Diceros bicornis minor: one gene and its partner. The protein of the gene in region 1 interacts with the protein of each later gene in a pairwise test. Links are inferred from orthologs where the notes say so. Each region holds a gene or a part of one and is shown in the gene's direction. Other genes may lie near its edges.

Region 1 (9,201 bases):
AATCTTAGCCAGATCATTAAAATGATTAAAATTAAAAATTTTGCATTTAAAGGGTTAAGAAAGAAATCAGGTTTGTTTTTGTTAATGGTATACTGGTAAGTTTATAGCTGTAATTAGCACATATTTCTAAGAGGCAAATATTATACACAATGAGTTAGTGTGCATATACAAATTATGTTCCTCCAAAGTGCTTTTAGCTGTATAAAGTGATGTTGCAAAACACTAAACTTGAGCTAATGTATGGCTGTTGCTGGTCATAATTATCAGTATGAATACCAAGTTCTTAGAGGGGAACTCTGAGCCCTAAGAGAATGGTTTATAGCTACCAAAATTAGCAATGATGCAATATCACAGGAGGAGACGTGCCCCAGAGTGCTAGACAGTCCTGATCAGGACACTTGAACTGCCCCAGTCCTTCAGCAACAGCATAAGGACTCGCAGGTCGACCAGCTGGGGGTGGTCTTCCTGGAACCTTCAAAGACAGAGAGAAACATGCCCCTCAGATATAGTGAGGAGGTTTTACAGAATTTTCACAGGGCATAGAGATCATAATGGTATGAAAAGGTAGGAGTGTCAAGCTCAAGTCTCAAAGATGACCTACCCTCAGATTCTCAGGATTTGACCCAGAAGTTTCTCTAGGAACAGATAATGCATTGGTGAAGTAGAAGTAGCTTCGGTAAAAACCAAATGCAGAATCCTGTCACAATGTCTGCTGTTTTATAGCTTTATTAAAGATTAGTTTGAAGTTCACATTCACTATTCAGTTGTAAACCGAATGGGGGAATGGAAGGAGGAGATACAAGCTCTTCCCACAGTGTGCTCCTCTCTTTTCTGAGAGAAAACAAGGCATGGGATTTTCAGCATAAACTCCATGTCGTCCAAGTCCTCCTTCAGTTCCAAAATTCCTGTCACATTGTCTGTTCCTGGAAGTGATCTCTGTCAGACGGCCTTAGATACAAGTTTTGTTTATTTTTAAATTTGCAAGGATTCTAAAACCCTCTTCCATTAGAGGTAGTTGGCCGGCAGAGTTTTCCCTTGACTTCTGAGACTGGTGTAGATTGACTCTTGACAGTGGGAGGATACCCAAGAAGTGTTATGGAGACACTCTATTTAAACAAACTCAGTAACTTGGGAAATAGCTGCCCTTCAACTGGAATATACAGCTGCTAAAGGGCTTGCAGATGAAGTCCTCTGGCTAACCTTAGTCTTCACATGAACCCATTGTGAGCCATCAGGACTTCCCAGTACCGCCAGTTCCCACTTTGGTTGTAATTAGCACTTCAGGATGTGTCACTTCTGGACAAGAAATACTCAGAAATTTAGGCCATGCGGGGTTAGATTAGAGCAAAGTAATTTTAGGTGAGCTATCCAGAGCTTTCAGCCTCAAGGTTTATAGGAAAGACCCCTTCACAACTTCCCATACTCTGGTCCCGACCGGCAGTCTCCTCTAAGGGTCTTCCAAAACCCTTCCAAGAGTATGTCGGTAGGTATTTCACAGTGGAAATAGCCTCTGGGAACATTTTTCCAAATGCTACTTCCAGCTAAGAACAAATACTTTTTGTTTTTATTAATTTTTTGTCTTTACACTTTTTGCCATCAAAATATATCCATTTCATTAACTTATTGAGGACCTGCAAAAAATACACATGGTATCTGAAACCTCTGAGCAGTTATTTTTTCATAGTTTAAAAATAATCAAGAGAGTTATAAATCAAGATGTTCTGTCTACTACAGTCATAGAATTTCTGTGGTAGAATGGGCCTTATTTAATTAGGTGATCCTGGCTTTTTTTAGAGCAGGAAACAAATCCAGAGGTTAAAGTGGTTTTTCTGACACACGCAGAGCCCGTTAGTAACAGAATTCAGAGTAGAAGATAGTTCTTTTTTTCCCCTCGGTCCTTTGTTCTGCTTCTCTGCCCTTTCCCTTGTAGTTGAGTAGCTTTTGGAAAAATGTGTTCCTTATAGCAGTAGTTCCATGGGACGTTATAAGAGAAGAAAAGTGTGTGTGGTGGGAGAAGACTCCATGTTCAATTCAAATTGCAGAATGCTGAGTTTATATCCTTTCTGTAGGATTTCGAAGAGTTTTTAATGTGCTATTATATATTGTGAACTTATAAGAGGGGACAAAGACTATGTTTACTAGACTTATTTGACTTTAAACCATGCCCCCATCCTCCTTTTCTTACTCAAAGGACTGCTGATCCTCTGGGAAACATGGCTCTCGAGTAAGTGTACAGGTCTTTTAGATGATATCCCTAATGGAAATTTCTGAATGGTAAGTCTACTACCATGGTACCATGTAAACTGTAGTAAATCTCCAAGTTTAGAGAGATACTAGAAAGAAAACACATTTGCCGTTCAGAGCTATACATAAAGTATAGAGATTCTTTTCCACCTATGGTGTGTAAAATCAGTGTTTGTGTTCAGTTTTGCAAGTTTTTCAAGGATCAATTAATGTGCGAATACAGTGGTGATATATTGATACTACATTTTAATAATGCTGTTGTATGGCACTTCATAGTTTTTAGGCTGCTTTCTTAACAACCCTGTGAGATAGGCAGGTGTTAAGTATTATCAAATGAGGCACTGACTGGGGGCTCAGAAAGGTTTTTTTTGTGATTTTCCCTTAAGTTTATACCACAAAGTGATGGAGCCAGAATTCAGTTGCAGAACTTCTGACTCCAAGTCCAGAGTTCTTGACTCCACACCTGGTTTCGTATTTTTCTTCTAGCTTTATATTTTACAGTGAAAGGTGTGGAAGCAAATCTTAAAGTAACATCATTTGGCTTATTATCAAATACTATATATTTTTTTTATTGCAGTGACCCAGAAAATGTAACTCCTGTTATAGCTATCCCAAAGAAAACCCTCTTTTGTCCTTTGCTGTGCCACTCGTTTAGGTAACCGGAGTGTATTTCAAATATTATTTGATTTTGAAACCAAGATTGGATATATAGTTGTAATTGCTTATGTAACTTTTTTTTTATAGGTTTTTTTTATTGAGGTCATAATAGTTTATAACTTGCTTATGTAACTTTTGGAAAGTGTATCATCTCTGCATTCTCAGGCAAAGTAGAGATGGTTTGAAAAAAAGGATTATTCAAATACAACAATACATATTCTTTATTCTCACACAAATGCTGTTTCTTAGCTTTAACTTGCTTTGACAACCTACTGATGTAACTTCTTTGTAAATGTAAAATATTTATATTTTGAAGTAAAATTGCTAGTGTTGAAAAAATCAGGTGGTAAACTTAGTCTCATTTCTGTTGAGAAATTTGATCTTTAGTGAAGTCACACTTTTACAAGTCCACCTTATCTGTCTCTTAGGCTTTATCTCTTGCCTTTTCCTTTAGCACCAATACCTACACTGAATTTTTATGAAATATGGGCAACTTACATAAGGGAATAAGTGTCTGGGGAGTGGATGCTGGGCACCTTCAAGAGGTGAAAAGGTCCAAGGCTGAGGCTGGAGCCCTCAGTACACAAGGGAAGGTGGCCTTGAGGTAGATGAGGAAGTGGTGATGTGCATGGCTGGGGAGTAAGAATCAGAGGAAAAGAAATTTGGATCGAGGGCCCGCCCTGTGGCTTAGCGGTTAAGTGCGCGCGCTCCGCTACTGGCGGCCAGGGTTCAGATCCTGGGCGCCCACCAACGCACTGCTTCTCCAGCCATGCTGAGGCCGGGTCCCACATACAGCAACTAGAAGGATGTGCAACTATGACATACAACTATCTACTGGGGCTTTGGGGAAAAAAAAAAAAGGAGGAGGATTGGCAATAGATGTTAGCTCAGAGCCGGTCTTCCTCGGTAAAAAGGAGCAGGATTAGCATGGATGTTATAACGCTCAGGGCTGATCTTCCTCGCAAAAAAAAAATTTTTTTTGGATCAAAGAACTGCAGATTTTGAATGAAGAAAACAATCCTAAGTTATGGCTATCTTCAATAGCAAAGATATCAGTGCAGCACTGGGTGACGTAGCCAAACCCAGGTGTGGAAGTACTGTAAAGCACATTTCAACAGTGCTTGGGAAAGAACTTGCTGACACCTCCAATTGGTGGTGTTCAGCTCATCAATCTGACATTATGGATGGAGAAATGGTCCTGGCAAAGGTGTAACAGTGGACTAGCCAACCTCAGATTCTTTTCTATTCTGATAGTTTCTTATTGGCAGATATGCTAGTTCAAAAAATATTTCTTCATGTTTCTCAGGCTGTTGCTTAAGCCTAGGACCCTTTCACAGGGTGTGTTTCTGACAACCTCTTTTTGGCTTTGCTCCTGGAACCCTTAGGGTAAGGGGTGTTCAGCTCTCCCTCCCATCTCAATCCCGCAGGGGCTCCCTGATTTTAGCCTTACCCTTAGTTTAGTTAGAAATATATACTAATGATCTTTTCAGTCTGTGAACAGCTGTTAAGAAACTGCTCTGTGCTAGGCACTAGGGGAAAATAATTTTGAAAAGTAGTTTTAAAAAGTAATTGAACAGTAATTGAAAAAAAGTGTTGAACAGTAGGTGCTTTTCCATATGGTCTATTTAGAAGAGTATTTCTGAGCAGTAGCCTGAAAGATACCCAAGTCACTCTCTTCTTGCCGAGTACCCAGACACTCCTTAAATAACTGCATTATCAAGTGTTTCATCTTCAGTCCAGCTCAATTGTGAGAAAGATACAGTCAGAAAAGGAGCAGGGTGGAGGGGGAAATGGGGCCTTCCGGAGAAGCTCCAGAAAGACTATATTGCCTGTAGAATTCCTGTCTCAGGGTAAACAGCAGCCCCCTACAGACATGACTCGGGTCCTGCTCTACCAGTTAGTTTCAACCTCAGTGCAGCTTCCAGAAATCGCCGCGGGAATTCGTAGTTAGGACGAGTTACCTATCGAGAGGACAGAGGATGGGAAGCTTTGCTGGGGACGGTGTCCTTTGTCCTGGTAAGAGGCCACGTGGCCGTGGGAAGCCTCAGGTATATTAGTTTCTCTGTTTAGCGCGCGTGGGACGTGCATGGAACCCACCGAAGAGTGGTCTGGAGAGAGAGAGAGGCAAGGCGGGGAATGGGGATGGAGGGAGCGGGACAGAGGCGGGAGTGGGCGGGGCCTGTCGGGGGCGGGGCCTGTCAGGGGCGGGGCTCTGCGGCACCCCAGCAGGCTGGAGACGGGGCCCGGCTGGGGGCGGGGAGTGGGCGGGGGCCTGTCGCGGGCGGGGCCCGGCGGCGGCCCAGCAGGCCGGGGGCGGGGCCGTGCCAGGGGCGGGGCCCCGGGCGGCGCGGGTGCTTTGCTGCCGCCGCCGCGCGCGGGCTGGCTGGCGGGCGGCGGGCGACGGGCCCTCAGTGGCGCGGCGTTCCGGCTGCGCGACGAGCGGAGGGCCATGGCTGCCTCTCCGGGCCCGGCCGGCGTTGGGGGCGCCGGAGCAATGCACGGCTCCGGCCCGTCGGGCCTCGCCTTCGACTCGGGACTCGAGATCAAAACTCGCTCGGTGGAGCAGACGCTGCTCCCGCTGGTTTCTCAGGTAAAGTGGCGCCCGGTGCGGCCCCTCGTCTCCCTCCGGCCGCGGCCCGCGATGGCGGCGGCCGCTCGCACAGCCGGGTCGGGCCGGGCGGGAGGCAGCCGCTGCCCCGCATCCTGCACCCGGACTGCGGCGTCGGTGTCGGACAGCCGGTCTGGGGCTTGAGGACGGGCCTCGGCTGAGGTGGCTGAGTCTGGACCGTTCGAAATCCGGCGGCGAGGCCGAGTTGGCTGAGCGGCAGGAGAGGCTGCGGGGCGGGGGGCCCGGTGCGGACTCGAGAGCCCGGCCGGCAGGTGCGCGCCCGGCCTGCCCCCCAGGACCCGCCTCGCGGCTGCGGCTGCGGTGGCCCCCGGCCCAGCGAGCCCGCCTCCGCGGGTGGGCGGCGAGCCCAGCTCCCGGGAGGCAGAGAGGACCACGGCGGGAGCTCCGCTGGCTCTTAGGGGCCCCCCCCGGTGCTGCTCTTTAACCCGCTGCCGGCACACGTTCGCAACCCCGGTCCAAACCCGGACCTTTGGGCACTCCAGCTGGGGCATTCCCAGCCTCCAAGTCCAGCGTGCTCTCCCGGGGCCTTTGTCCCTCTGCCCTGCGTGTGTGTCGGCTCGCCCGCCTCGCATTTCTCCCGGGCCACCCTGCCCCTTCCCCTTAACCTGCCTGCTCACTGCAGTTGGCTCTTGTCCGGCCTCGGAAGAGCGAAGTGAAGGACAGCCTGATAGTTAATCCGGATACCCATCTTTTGCCAAATCCCATTTGGGATGTATGCTTTATTGTATTTGTTGGTCATAACAGAAGTCTAGAATCAGCTAATTGACGCGCTTAGCTTTAGAGAAGTTTTTGTTACGGTGAGCCGAGTTATACGCAGCCTGAGGGCTAGAATTCCTCACCTAGACCTGTGTAATGTGCCAAACACTGTGGGGAGTGAAGAATTCTGTGCCTTCAGGAGCGCGCTGGCGATGTGTGACTCACAACTGGATTGTAAAGTCTTGATGATTCACGCTAGTGCTGCCAAGATTTTAGAGGTAGAAGGAATCTTAAAGGTTATCTGACTCTAAATTAAAAAATTCTTTCTTACAGCACCCTTGACACCTGGTCACCAGCCCCCTGTTTAAACATGTTCAGTGATGGGGAGCCTGTAGCTGTTGTATAGAATTTTTAATGCTGTCTCTTCTCCGTGCCAGCCCCGCAAATATTTGAAAACAGCAGTCACACATGTCTGTAGATTCCTGTTAACGCTGATTAAATAAACAGCTCCATCTTCTTCACCTGTGCTCATTTTAGCCTGGCTAACACAACAGGGAATGAATACACCTACACCCCCCCCCTTCCATGTCTGATAGAGGCACTGACCAGTGAGAAGCAGTGCTCTGATCCGTTAGTAATGTCTGCACTGCCCCTCTCCCCCAAAAGAATACCACCACTGCCACCAATACAACCACAACCAAAAATGAGAAATACTGGAGTAGTTGTAAGAGGATGGTGGAGTTCAAGTTGACAGTATTTTATCCATTTATTTAACATACGTATATCATGCTTACTATACACTAGGCCATGTTCTAAGCACTTTATAAGTATTAACTCATTTAATTCTCATGACAGTCCTGTGAGGTAGACATATGTTTATTCTCATTATGTGGATGAGGAAATAGGAATAGTGAGATTAAGTAACTTGTCATGGGACTTCCAACTGTAAATGTCAAGCTGGGATTTGAATCCAGGCAGCCTGGCTCCAGAGTTGACGCTCTTACCTACACCATATGCTGTGTTCTCTCTAGAGAGTAGAAGCAGTGATAAGGACAGCTAATAGTAGGTACAGAGAAGAGTCCACAATGGGAAAACAAGCTGGAAGGTTGTTGTAATCTGGAGAAATGGTAATTTTTCATAGTATCACTACTAAAAATGTATCAGTGCTACAGCTCTCCATTGTGTAATTCTGGGGTAGAAGAGGGTGGAGAGAGTAGGAAAGTGGAGGAGGAAATGTGTAAATAGCTGCTGAGTTAACTAGAGGTCAATGCCAAAGGGGGAAAATGCCAGTTTTTTTTTTTTTTCTTCTTTTTTGTTCAAGACTCATTGAGGGCCATAGCTGAGATTCTGCATCCCACACGTTATGTATGCACAGTTATATCTTTAGCACAATACCATAACTGATATTCCTAATGATTGACTGTACTCAACAAGAAAAAGTTAAATTGTGCTTAAGATCAAGAAATGTATAAAGCATGGCCATAATACTGACAAAGCGGGAAAGTGTGGAGTTCACTTTAGAATGATTTTCAAGTTTCATTGAGTGTTCGTGGCTTTAAAACTGCAGCTCTAGAAAACTCATGTCCAGGAGCGTCATTTTCTAAGGATGCTGCATTATTATCCAACGCATGTTTCGCCATCTTATCCACAAAAATATTTTAAGCATTTTAGGCAAGCGTTTGTTGTATGCTTACTAGTTGTTGCTCTTCGAGGACCTTGTATTCTAGTTGGCAGACAGGACATGTACAAAATAGCACATGCCAAGTGTCAAATGAACATCATCAATGGTAAATGCTTTAAGAGCTCGGAGAAGGCACGGATGAGTCAGGAATGATGCCATAGAGGAGACAGGGTCTGGAGGTGAACAAGTAGGACAAGCGTTGTACAGTTTAGTGAGTTTTAAATAGTTTCTCCTTTGATAGCATCTAAGCTCTTCTGACTTCAAGTAAAAAGTTCTGGGTTACTAGGCTTATTCTAGGAATGCAAGATTGAGTCAATGTTAGACAATGTACACAATTTTCTGCATTCATGTATTAGAAAAGCTATCTGTTCTTATCAAAAGATGCAGAAAAAGCATTCATTTAAATTCAGCTTCTAATCATGATAAAAAGCACTTAGCAAACTAGTAATAGAAACACCTTCCTTAACCTGATAAAGAGTATCTACAGAAAACCTACAGTCAACATCATAGCAACAAGTCAAATTCATAACAAACGTTTCCTTTAAAACCAGAAACAAGAGGAGCGATGCTATCACAGTTTCTATTCAGCACTGTACTGGAAATCCTAACCAGTGCAACAGGACAAGGAGAAGTGAAAGTGTAAAGATAGGAAAGGAAAAATCAAAACTTCATTATGATATAATTATCTACAGAGAAAAACTCAAAGAGTCTTTAAATAAATTATAAAAATTGGGAGGTTTAGTAAGTTCACTGACTGTAGGATACTAAAGTCAACTGCATTTTTCTACCTGAATGACAAACAGAAGTAATTCTAAAAAAAAAAATGCTAGTTAGAATAAAATGAAGTTCCTAGGAATATATGTATAGCAAAAGAGATGCCAAACTTCATGGAGAAAATTTTAAAATTTTATTGAAAGCCAAAGTAGATCTACATAAATGGGAGGGAAGTACCATGTTCATGACTAGATTGATTTGATATTGTAGATGTATCAATTTTCCCTATTGATCTATAAGTTTAGTGCAATTCCAATAAACATTTCAACAGGAGTTTTTTGAGTAGAATTGATAAAAGTAATTCTAAAATTTATATGAAAGAGCAAAGAGTCAAGAATAGCCAGGAGAGAAACAAGGTGGGTGGACTTGCTTTACTAGATTTCAAGACTTATTATAAAGCTATAATAATAAAGTGTGGATATAAGAACAGAGATGGACAAATAGACCAGTGAAACAGAATAGAGAACCTAGAAACAGATCCACGCATATATGGAAACTTGATAAATCACAGAATTGGCAT
Region 2 (9,015 bases), on another chromosome or scaffold:
AAGTAGTTTCAAATTTTTTGCTTTCAGCAAAAATTAAAAGGAAATCTAATCAAGTTGTCAGCTGAGAGATTATTAAAAATAATTTCTGATGATGTGATTTTTTTGCATATGTCTCAGAAAGTGTTCAACAAAATGTGTGACATTGTTGTCATCTATTTATATATGTAAACAAGGTTTCTCAGTGCTAATATTTATAAAAACAAACAAACAAAAAGGAATGGAATTTATTGCTGGACCTTGTTTAATTCTAGTGTTAAGTAATGTTCGTCACTCACTCAACGCAATAGCAAAAAAACAAAATAATCCAATTTAAAAATGGGCAGAAGATGGGAATAGACATTTTCCAAAGAAATACAAATGACCAACATGAAAAGGTGCTCAATATCACTAGTCATCGGGTAAATTCATATCAAAACTACAATGAGGTATCACCTCACACCTGTCAGAATGGCTGTCATCAAAAAGACAAGAGATAAGTGTTGGTGAGGAAGTAGAGAAAAGGGAACCCTTGTGTACCATTGGTGGTAATATAAATTAGTACATCCACTATGGAAAGCAGTATTGAGGTTTCTCAAAAAATTAAAAATAGAACTACTGGGACGAGCTCGGTGGCATAGTGGTTAAGTTCATGTGCTCCACTTCAGCAGTCCGGGGCTCACGGGTTCGGATCCTGGGCACAGACCTACTCACCACTTATCAAGCCATGCTGTGTGGGCGTCCCACATATAAAAAGGGAGAATTTTCCTCAGCAAAACAAGAGGAGGATTGGCAACAGATGTTAGCTCAGTGCTAATCTTCCTCACACACACACACACACACATACACACACACACACACACAAAATAGAACTACCATATGATCCAGCAATCCCACTCTGGGTATATTTCTGAAATCACTATCTCAAAGAGATATCTCTACTCCATGTTCACTGCAGCATTGTTCCCAATAGGCAAGACATGGAAACAACCTAAGTGTCCACCCACAGATGAATGGATAGAGAAAATGTGGTGTATATAAAATGGAATATTATTTAGCCATAAAAAGGAAGGAAATCCTGCCTTTTGTGACAACATGGACGGACCTTGAGGGCATTATGCTAAGTGAAATAAGTCAGACAGAGAAAGACTTTTGAGTCTGATCTCATTTACATGCGGAATCTAAAAAAGCCTACTCAGAAACAGAGAGTAGAAAGGTGGTTGCCAGGGGCTGCCGGGTGGGGGAAATGGGGACATGTCGGTTGAAGGGTACAAACTTACAGTTATAAGATGAATAAGTTCTGGGGATCTAATGTACAACATGGTGACTATAGTTAACAGTACTTTATTGTATGCTTGACAGTTGCTAAGAGAGGATATCTTAGTATATCTTAGTTCTTACCACACACACACACAAATGGAATTATGTGAGGTGATGGAAGTGTTAACTAACCTTACTGTGGTAATCATTTTTGCAATATATGGGTGTGTCAAATCATCACGTTGTACACCTTAAACATACACAATATTTTACGTCAATTATGTCTAAATAAAGCCAGCAGAGGGGCTGGCCTGGTGGCGTAGCAGTTAGGAGCACAAGTTCCGCTTAGGCAGCCTGGGGTTCGCAAGTTCAGATTCCAGATGCGCACCGATGCACTGCTTGTCAAGCCATGCTGTGGCGGTGTCCCATATAAAGTAGAGGAAGATGGGCACGGACATTAGCACAGGAACAATCTTCCTCAGTGAAAAAAAGAGGAGGATTGGCATCAGATGTTAGCTCAGGGCTAATATTCCTCACCAAAAAAAAAAAAAAAAAGCAAAAAAGTAATGTTCATCCACAGATAAATTCATTTTTTAAAAAACCCAGCCCATCCATCTCATTAAGAGCTGCAATTCTAATAAAATTTTTACTTTTTGATTAACAATTATTTACATAAATTTACAATATATTTTTGTTTTTATCGACTGCTAATAATAATTATAATGATAATTCAATACAGAATAAAAAAATTAACAAGAGCCTTTTTGTCATAGGAAGTAAAAAAGATTTAAAAATTCAATATATATATATTTTTTGTTGTTGCAGGAAATTATTACAAAGTGATAAAAGTGATTTTGTTGTTGTTAGTGCCATCAAGTCAATTTCAACTCCAGCAACCCTGTGTACAGCAAAGTGGAACCCTGTCCAGTCTTTTTCTCACTTTCTCCTGCCCGCCATTTTCTCACCTTCCGGCACTCTATCAGCCAAAGTTCTGCTGCTATTTATAGGGTTTTCATGGCCAATTTTTTTGGAAGTGGGTAGCCAATTCCTTCTTCCTAGTCTGTCTCAGCTGCTGAAACCTGTCCACCATGGGTGACCCTGCTGGTATTTGAAATACTGGTGGCATAGGTTTCAGCATCACAGCAACATGCAGCCACCACAGTATGAAAATTGACAGATGGGTGGCCTGGTTCCCTGACTGGCGAATGAACCCAGGCCATCACAGTGAGAGCACTGTATCTTAACATCTTAATCTGGTGATTACAAAGTGATAAAAGACTGTCATGCATAAAATATATTATCTTAGATTATAGTTTTGTGGAGAAAGTAGAATGGAAATACAAGTTTAAGAAGATGAAAGAATGATAAAATTTCCAATGTAAATGAAGAACTTGTTCACAAATTTTTACAGCTAGGGCTGACTACTGCCATCCCTCCCCCCTTTCTTGTAATCACTGCATGTTTTTGAATAAAACTTTTAGGAGCTGTCCAAGAAAAAAAAGTTTGAAGACCACTGGTTAATCTACTCTTCCAAGAAACTTGGGTGTGCAGTGGAAGACAGAAGGAGAGATAGCTAGAGGGAGGCCTATATCAAAGGAGACTTTATTTTTTAAGATGGAAGATTTGAGCATGTGCATTTGATATCATGCCTATTTTTCAGAAGAGAGGTCCAGAGAAGCTATGAGTTTACTCCAAATGAGGAGACTCTGGAACAAAATCCAGGTAAGATATCAGTCAGAATACGCTAGGGGGCTGGCCCGTGGCGTAGCGGTTAAGTGCGCGCTCTCCGCTGCTGGCAGCCAGGTTCGGTCCCGGGCGCGCACCCACGCACCGCTTCTCCCGCCATGCTGAGGCCGCGTCCCACATACAGCAACTAGAAGGATGTGCAACTGTGACATACAACTGTCTACTGGGGCCTTGGGGAAAAAGAGGAGGAGGATTGGCAATAGATGTTAGCTCAGAGCCCGTCTTCCTCAGCAAAAAAAGAGGAGGATTAGCATGGATGTTAGCTCAGGGCTGATCTTCCTCACAAAAAAAAAAAAGAATATGCTGGGTTATGCTGTAGCTACAAGCACCCACTAAGTCTCAGTAAACTTAACATATCTCAAGTTTATTTTTCTCCTTTGCTACATGTCCTAGTATGGGTCGGCAGGAGGTCTGCTCATCTTAGCGACACAGAGACCCAGGCCACCAGTTGATGGCTTCATCTCTATAGTCACGGCAGCTAGCAGAAAGGGGTACAATGACTTACCAGCTTTTTAAGCTGGTGGGAAGTTAACAACTATTACTTCTGTGTGTTTCAAGTTGGTCAGAGAAGTGCCAGTCCTACCAGGTGCCTAGAAAGGAAAAGAGCTGGAAACTTGGATGAGCAGCACTAATGACTACTACCTGTCATTTCCAGTAGTGGAAATAGCCACAAATTTGTATTATCTGGTACCTACTTTGAGCCCAGGCAAGATGGAGTAAAATAAAATATAAGACATTGTTAGTTCAATTCAACAGACCAGAGAGAGACAGGTTCTGGTCTCTGCCACTCAGTTATTGCTATGTAAGCCTGGAAGTTTGTCTCTTTGGGTCTTTGGGGAGGATTTGATGCTGTTCTAGTTCATATGTTTTCTGGTTGTAATACGCTTAGGACTGGAATAAGAGGAGAGGAGGAAGAGAACAAGTCCAACCAGGGCCAGGAGTGCTACCTCAAGAAAACAGACTTTCTAGCATTTTTGTTCCGATGCTTGTTGGGTAATGTGCTTTCAGTCAGCAGGGAGCAGTAAGGAGACAGAGGCACAATTCTGCACTGTAACACGGATTGTAAAAGTCTAGGGGTCACTCAACTTTGGCTGCGGGTTAGAATCATCCGGGGGAGATTTTTTAAAATACCTGTGCCGTGCTCTACCCCAGAAAATCAGACTCTCCAGGAGTGGAGCCCCAACATCGGTGTTTTTAACCAGCTTCCAGTTATGTGCGCTCCAAATTCTTTTTTTGTGTGTGTGAGGAAGATCAGCCCTGAGCTAACATCCATGCTAATCCTCCTCTCTCTCTTTTTTTTTTTTTGCTGAGGAAGACGCGGTCTGAGCTAACATCTATTGCCAATCCTCCTCCTTTTATCCCCCAAAGCCCCAGCAGATAGTTGCATGTCATAGTTGCACATCCTTCTAGTTGCTGTATGTGGGACGCGGCCTCAGCATGGCCGGAGAAGCGTTGCGTCCGTGGGCGCCCAGGATCGGGATCCGAACCCGGGCCGCTAGTAGCGGAGCACGCGCGCTTAACCGCTAAGCCACGGGGCCGGCCCTCGAAATTCTTTAATCCCTTGCTAGTTGGAGGGGCTGGATGACACCTAGTGGACGCATTCTCATAAAAGAGTTCTTGAATCCTCTTTTTTCTTCTTCCAAGAGTTGTCGGGGTTGTATTTTAATGGGGCGGGGGGCGTTAAACCAAGGGATCTTTGGGACATCATCAGGTTCCTAGCGCTTGGGGCGAGCTGATTTCCCAGCAGAGGAGGCTGTGACTAGCAGCCAGCTCTGCCCCCAGGGCGCCGCGGGCTGGGCGGTGGAGGCTCTAAGTCAGCTTTCAGCAAGACTGCAGAAACGGAACAACGGCGGACCGAAGTGAAGAGGGGAGGAGACAGCGAAGGAGCGGGCGGAGAGGAAGAGCGAGGGAGGAGCCAGAGGAGACGTAGCAGCGGGCGGGCGGACGGGCGGTGCCTGGCGTGGCCGCGACTTCCGCGCCCCGGCGGCGGACTGGTCACCATGGCGGGCCTGGACACCGGCCGGGCCATCCCCGTGTGGCTAGCCGAGGACGACCTGGGCTGCATCATCTGTCATGGGCTGCTCGCTTGGCCCGTCACGCTGCCCTGCGGCCACACCTTCTGCCGCAGCTGCCTGAAGGACCTGTGGGGCGCAGGGGCCGCGGGGCGCCGCTGGTCCTGCCCCACCTGCCGCGAGGGCGGCGCGCAGCAGCTGCAGCTGCGGAAGAACACGCTGCTGCAGGACCTGGCCGACAAGTACAGCCAGGCCGCGCGCGAGCTGGAGGCCGGCCCCGGCCCGGCCCCCGGCCCAGCTCCCGCCCCGGCCCCCGGCCCAGCGCCGGGGCCCCCGCGCCCCGCCGCGCCGCTGCCGGTAGGGAGGCGGGACCCGCAGCTCCCCTCTCTCCTCCAAGCTGCCCGCGCCGCCTGCACCCTGTTGCCCCATCGCTCTTCCTCCTTTCCCTTTCCTTTTCTACTCTTACGTTACTTTTTCCCCGTCTAAAAGTAGAACGCGCTCTTTGGAAAGTTCAGAAAAGTATGAAGCAGCAGGAAAAAAAAAAATCCAAATCTCCTAAAATCCTATCAACCTAGCCGCTGTACACCTTGGCGTATTTCCATTTCTTTCCAGTCTTTACGAAGTCTGTCTCTATGAAAATTTTTTTATTGTGGTGCAATTTGCTATTCTAACGATTTTTAAGTGTGCAATTCAGTAGCGTTAGTTGTATTCACAGTGTTGTGCACCCATCACCACTATCTATTTCCAAAACTTTTTCATCACTACAAACAGAAACTCTGTACCCATTAAGCAATAACTTCTCATTCCTCCTCCCTCCAGTCCCTCTAATTGAGTTTCTGTCTCTATGAATTTGCCTAGATATTTCATATAAGTGGAATCATGCAATATTTATCCCTTTGGGTCTGGCTTCTTTCACTTGCCATGATGTTTACAAGGTTCATTTGTGTTGTAGCATGTATCCGAACTTCATTCCTTTTTGCGGCTGAATAATATTCCCTTGTATGTATATACCACTTTTTTTAAAAATTCATACCTTGGTGGATATTTTAATTGTTTCCACCTTTTGGTTATTGTGAGTAATGTTGCAGTGAACATTGGTTACAAGTATCTGAGTCCCTATTTTCAATTATTTTGACAATACCTAAGAGTGGAATTGCTGGGTCCTAAGGTAATTCTCTATTTAACTTATTGAGGAACAGCCAAACTGTATTCCACAGCAGCTACACCATTTTACATTCCCATCAACAAAGTAGGAGGGTTTCAATTTTCCCCAGCTTTTGCTCCTGGAACCTACGTGCCCTATCGTACATTTCCACCATAATCTTTAGCTCTAGACATAGGCAAGTTTAATTCAGTTGCAGCGTTCCGAGCAATGCCCACCACCTTTCTGGCCCGAGCTCTGAGTTAGGTAGAAAAAGATGAGCACCCTGTGTCATTCCTTCAGGCAGCCCCAGCCAGGTTAGAACAGACATACACAACAATTTGTGAATGTGGGGCTCTGCTCCTTCTGCAACCAGGACCAGGGTTCCACGCTGGGAATCTTCAAGACTGTTACTTAGCCAGGGAGGGAGTGGGGCGGGGGCAGGTAAAAACACCACAAAGCTTTCCTACTGCCAGGTTGCTCTTTTTTGATTTGGTGTTTTCCAGAGTCCTGACAAAGTTTGTTCTGTCAGTTTCTGCTTGTTTTGCGATGTTTTATTATGGGGGGCTAGGGGTAGGGTAGGGGAGCTTCCCGCTCTACCCTTTTGCTGTTCTCTGCGGTCTTTTTGAAGAGTTGAGGTCACCTTGTGTAGGTAGTTTATGTCGTGTTTTTTTTTTTAATTAGTTAATAGACTTTATTTTTTAGAGCAGTTGTAAGTTTACAGAATGCTGAGCAGATAGGACAGAAAGTCCCCATATATCCCTCACAGTTTCCCCTATTATTAACATTTTGCATTAGTGTGGTACATTTGTTACAATTGATAAACCAATATTTATACATTATTATTAACTAAAATCCATAGTTTACATTAGGGTTCACTCTTTGTGTTGTACAGTTCTGTGGGTTTTGACGAATGCATGAGGTCATGTGTCTACAATTACAGTGTCATTCAGTTATACTGTCCTGAAAATCCCCTGTTCTCCACCTGTTTGTACCCCATCCCAACCCCTGGCAACCACTCATCTTTATACTATCTCTATAGTTTTGCCTTTTCCGGAATGTCATATAGTTGGAATCATACAATATCTAGCCTTTCCAGACTGGCTCCTTTCAGTAAGCAAAATTAGGGTTTGTGACTTGATAGCTCATTTCTTTTTTTATTGCTGAATAATATTCCATTGCATAGTTATACCACAGTTTATCCATTCACCTGGTGATGGACATATTGATTGCTTCCATTTTTTTGCCGTTATGAATAAAGCATGTTCTCTTCTTTTTGATTATAAATACAGCATTATCGCTCAGGTCCTTAAAATGTTTTGTTAATATAGATTATACTGTAGTGACTGAATATACTTTCCAAAGCCTTTTAAATTAAAATGATTGTCTTTGTGTTACCAAATTGACCTCACTCTGGTGGGACTCCAACCCACTTCAGAGGAGCTCCGCGGAGGGACCCACAGGTGTGGGCCTCGTACCCACAATCCGTCCCCTCCTTGGAGGGTTCTTTTCTGTTCAGGGTCGCAGATTTGAAACAAAACCAAAGCTGAACAGTCAACGGCACAAGCTTTTATTTGATGGCCAAAGAATAGAGAAGTGGGAACTAAGTTCACAACTCAACTTCTCAGCTCTTGGGGCGAGTAAGCAGCAGCGGTTATAAGGGGTCGAGATAATGAAGGGGGGGAGTATTCATCATATTCAGGGAACAGGGCAGGCTTTTCGGGGGAACAAGGGTGCCACCTCTTTTCTTTCCTTATTTAGTCATATGCTGCGGTTGCTGTGGCAATTGTGGACTGTCATGGCGCTGGGGGGGGTGTTATGTAGCACGGTAATGTATTACAATGAGCCTGTAATGAGCTGTGGGGTCTATGTCAGGTCAAGTCAGGCTACCATGTTGCCTTCACCTGGTTTTAACTGGTTTTGACAATATGTCAGCCATCTCCTTATTCCTCTCTTCGTGGTTTCCTGTAACCTAAAGAGAATGTGTTAGGCTTGTTCTGAGCAGGGTTGTGGTTAATGTCTTATGGGGCCAGGGGCCAGGGTAACATTTGGATAGTAGGATATTGGATGATTTAAAACATTTCTTCTTTCTTGTTCTCTGCATTTTCTAAACTAACCACAATAAGTATGTATTTTTTTTATCGGTAGAAAAGTTTTTGATTTGCTCAGGTGCTTGGGTAAGGACTCCAGAGTTCCAGCTGGCTGTATATTTGGAAGTGGAGCCTGGAAATTTAAGAGCAAACAGTGTTACCAGCAGTCAGCCACCTCCCTCTCTAAAATAGCCTGATTATCATGGCTTCCAAAACACGTGCTATTTTGAGGGACATCAGGGCTTCTTAAAGATGTAAAAGGTCCTGGGTCGATTCCAGTTTTTGAAGTTCCAGCATAATTTTAAAAATGAAAAATGTCAATACAAAGTTATAAAAACTCTGGTTTATTTAGAGTTGGATGAAGAACATCTTGTATTTCTGTGACTCTGCATAGGACCCCTTTTGGAGGTAATGCAGTCTTCTCCATTTGAGGCCTGGGCCCAGCCTGCCTCTGATGAGTGTCACCAGGTCTTGAGGTAGTTGCCAGAATATGTTGGCTACAAAACTTACTGTCACTCCCAACCAGGCAGCTGAGCAGATTAAGCTCTTTAAGTGGAGTTGTTTAGTACTGTCATCTAAATGTTTCTTTAAATATGAAGGATGTACAAAAAGAGCTTTGCATCTATACATCGCTTTAAAGTCTCCAAGATCCTTTCACAGTGAACAGTCAGGTAGATTTTCACTATTGAAGAAGAGAAGAGGGGATGGTCATTTTCGTTTTTGAAAGGAGTGGTGAGGGGCTGGCCTGGTGGTGTAGTGGTTAAGTTCGGCTTGTTCCACTTTGGTGGCC

Evidence for each region.
Region 2: the proteins of CTNNAL1 (region 1) and RNF135 interact in binary tests that used the Homo sapiens proteins (3 or more experiments, as listed by UniProt). The two-hybrid records come from large-scale screens. The link is inferred for Diceros bicornis minor from reciprocal best matches to the Homo sapiens genes CTNNAL1 and RNF135.

The regions. Positions count from the first base shown.
Region 1 is NC_080767.1:17,968,589-17,977,789, reverse strand, and holds the start of CTNNAL1 (alpha-catulin), read left to right. Parts: upstream 1-5,318; 5' UTR 5,319-5,350; coding exon 5,351-5,491; intron 5,492-9,201. UniProt on the Homo sapiens protein: May modulate the Rho pathway signaling by providing a scaffold for the Lbc Rho guanine nucleotide exchange factor (ARHGEF1).
Region 2 is NC_080757.1:21,202,604-21,211,618, forward strand, and holds the start of RNF135 (E3 ubiquitin-protein ligase RNF135), read left to right. Parts: upstream 1-4,968; 5' UTR 4,969-4,982; coding exon 4,983-5,351; intron 5,352-9,015.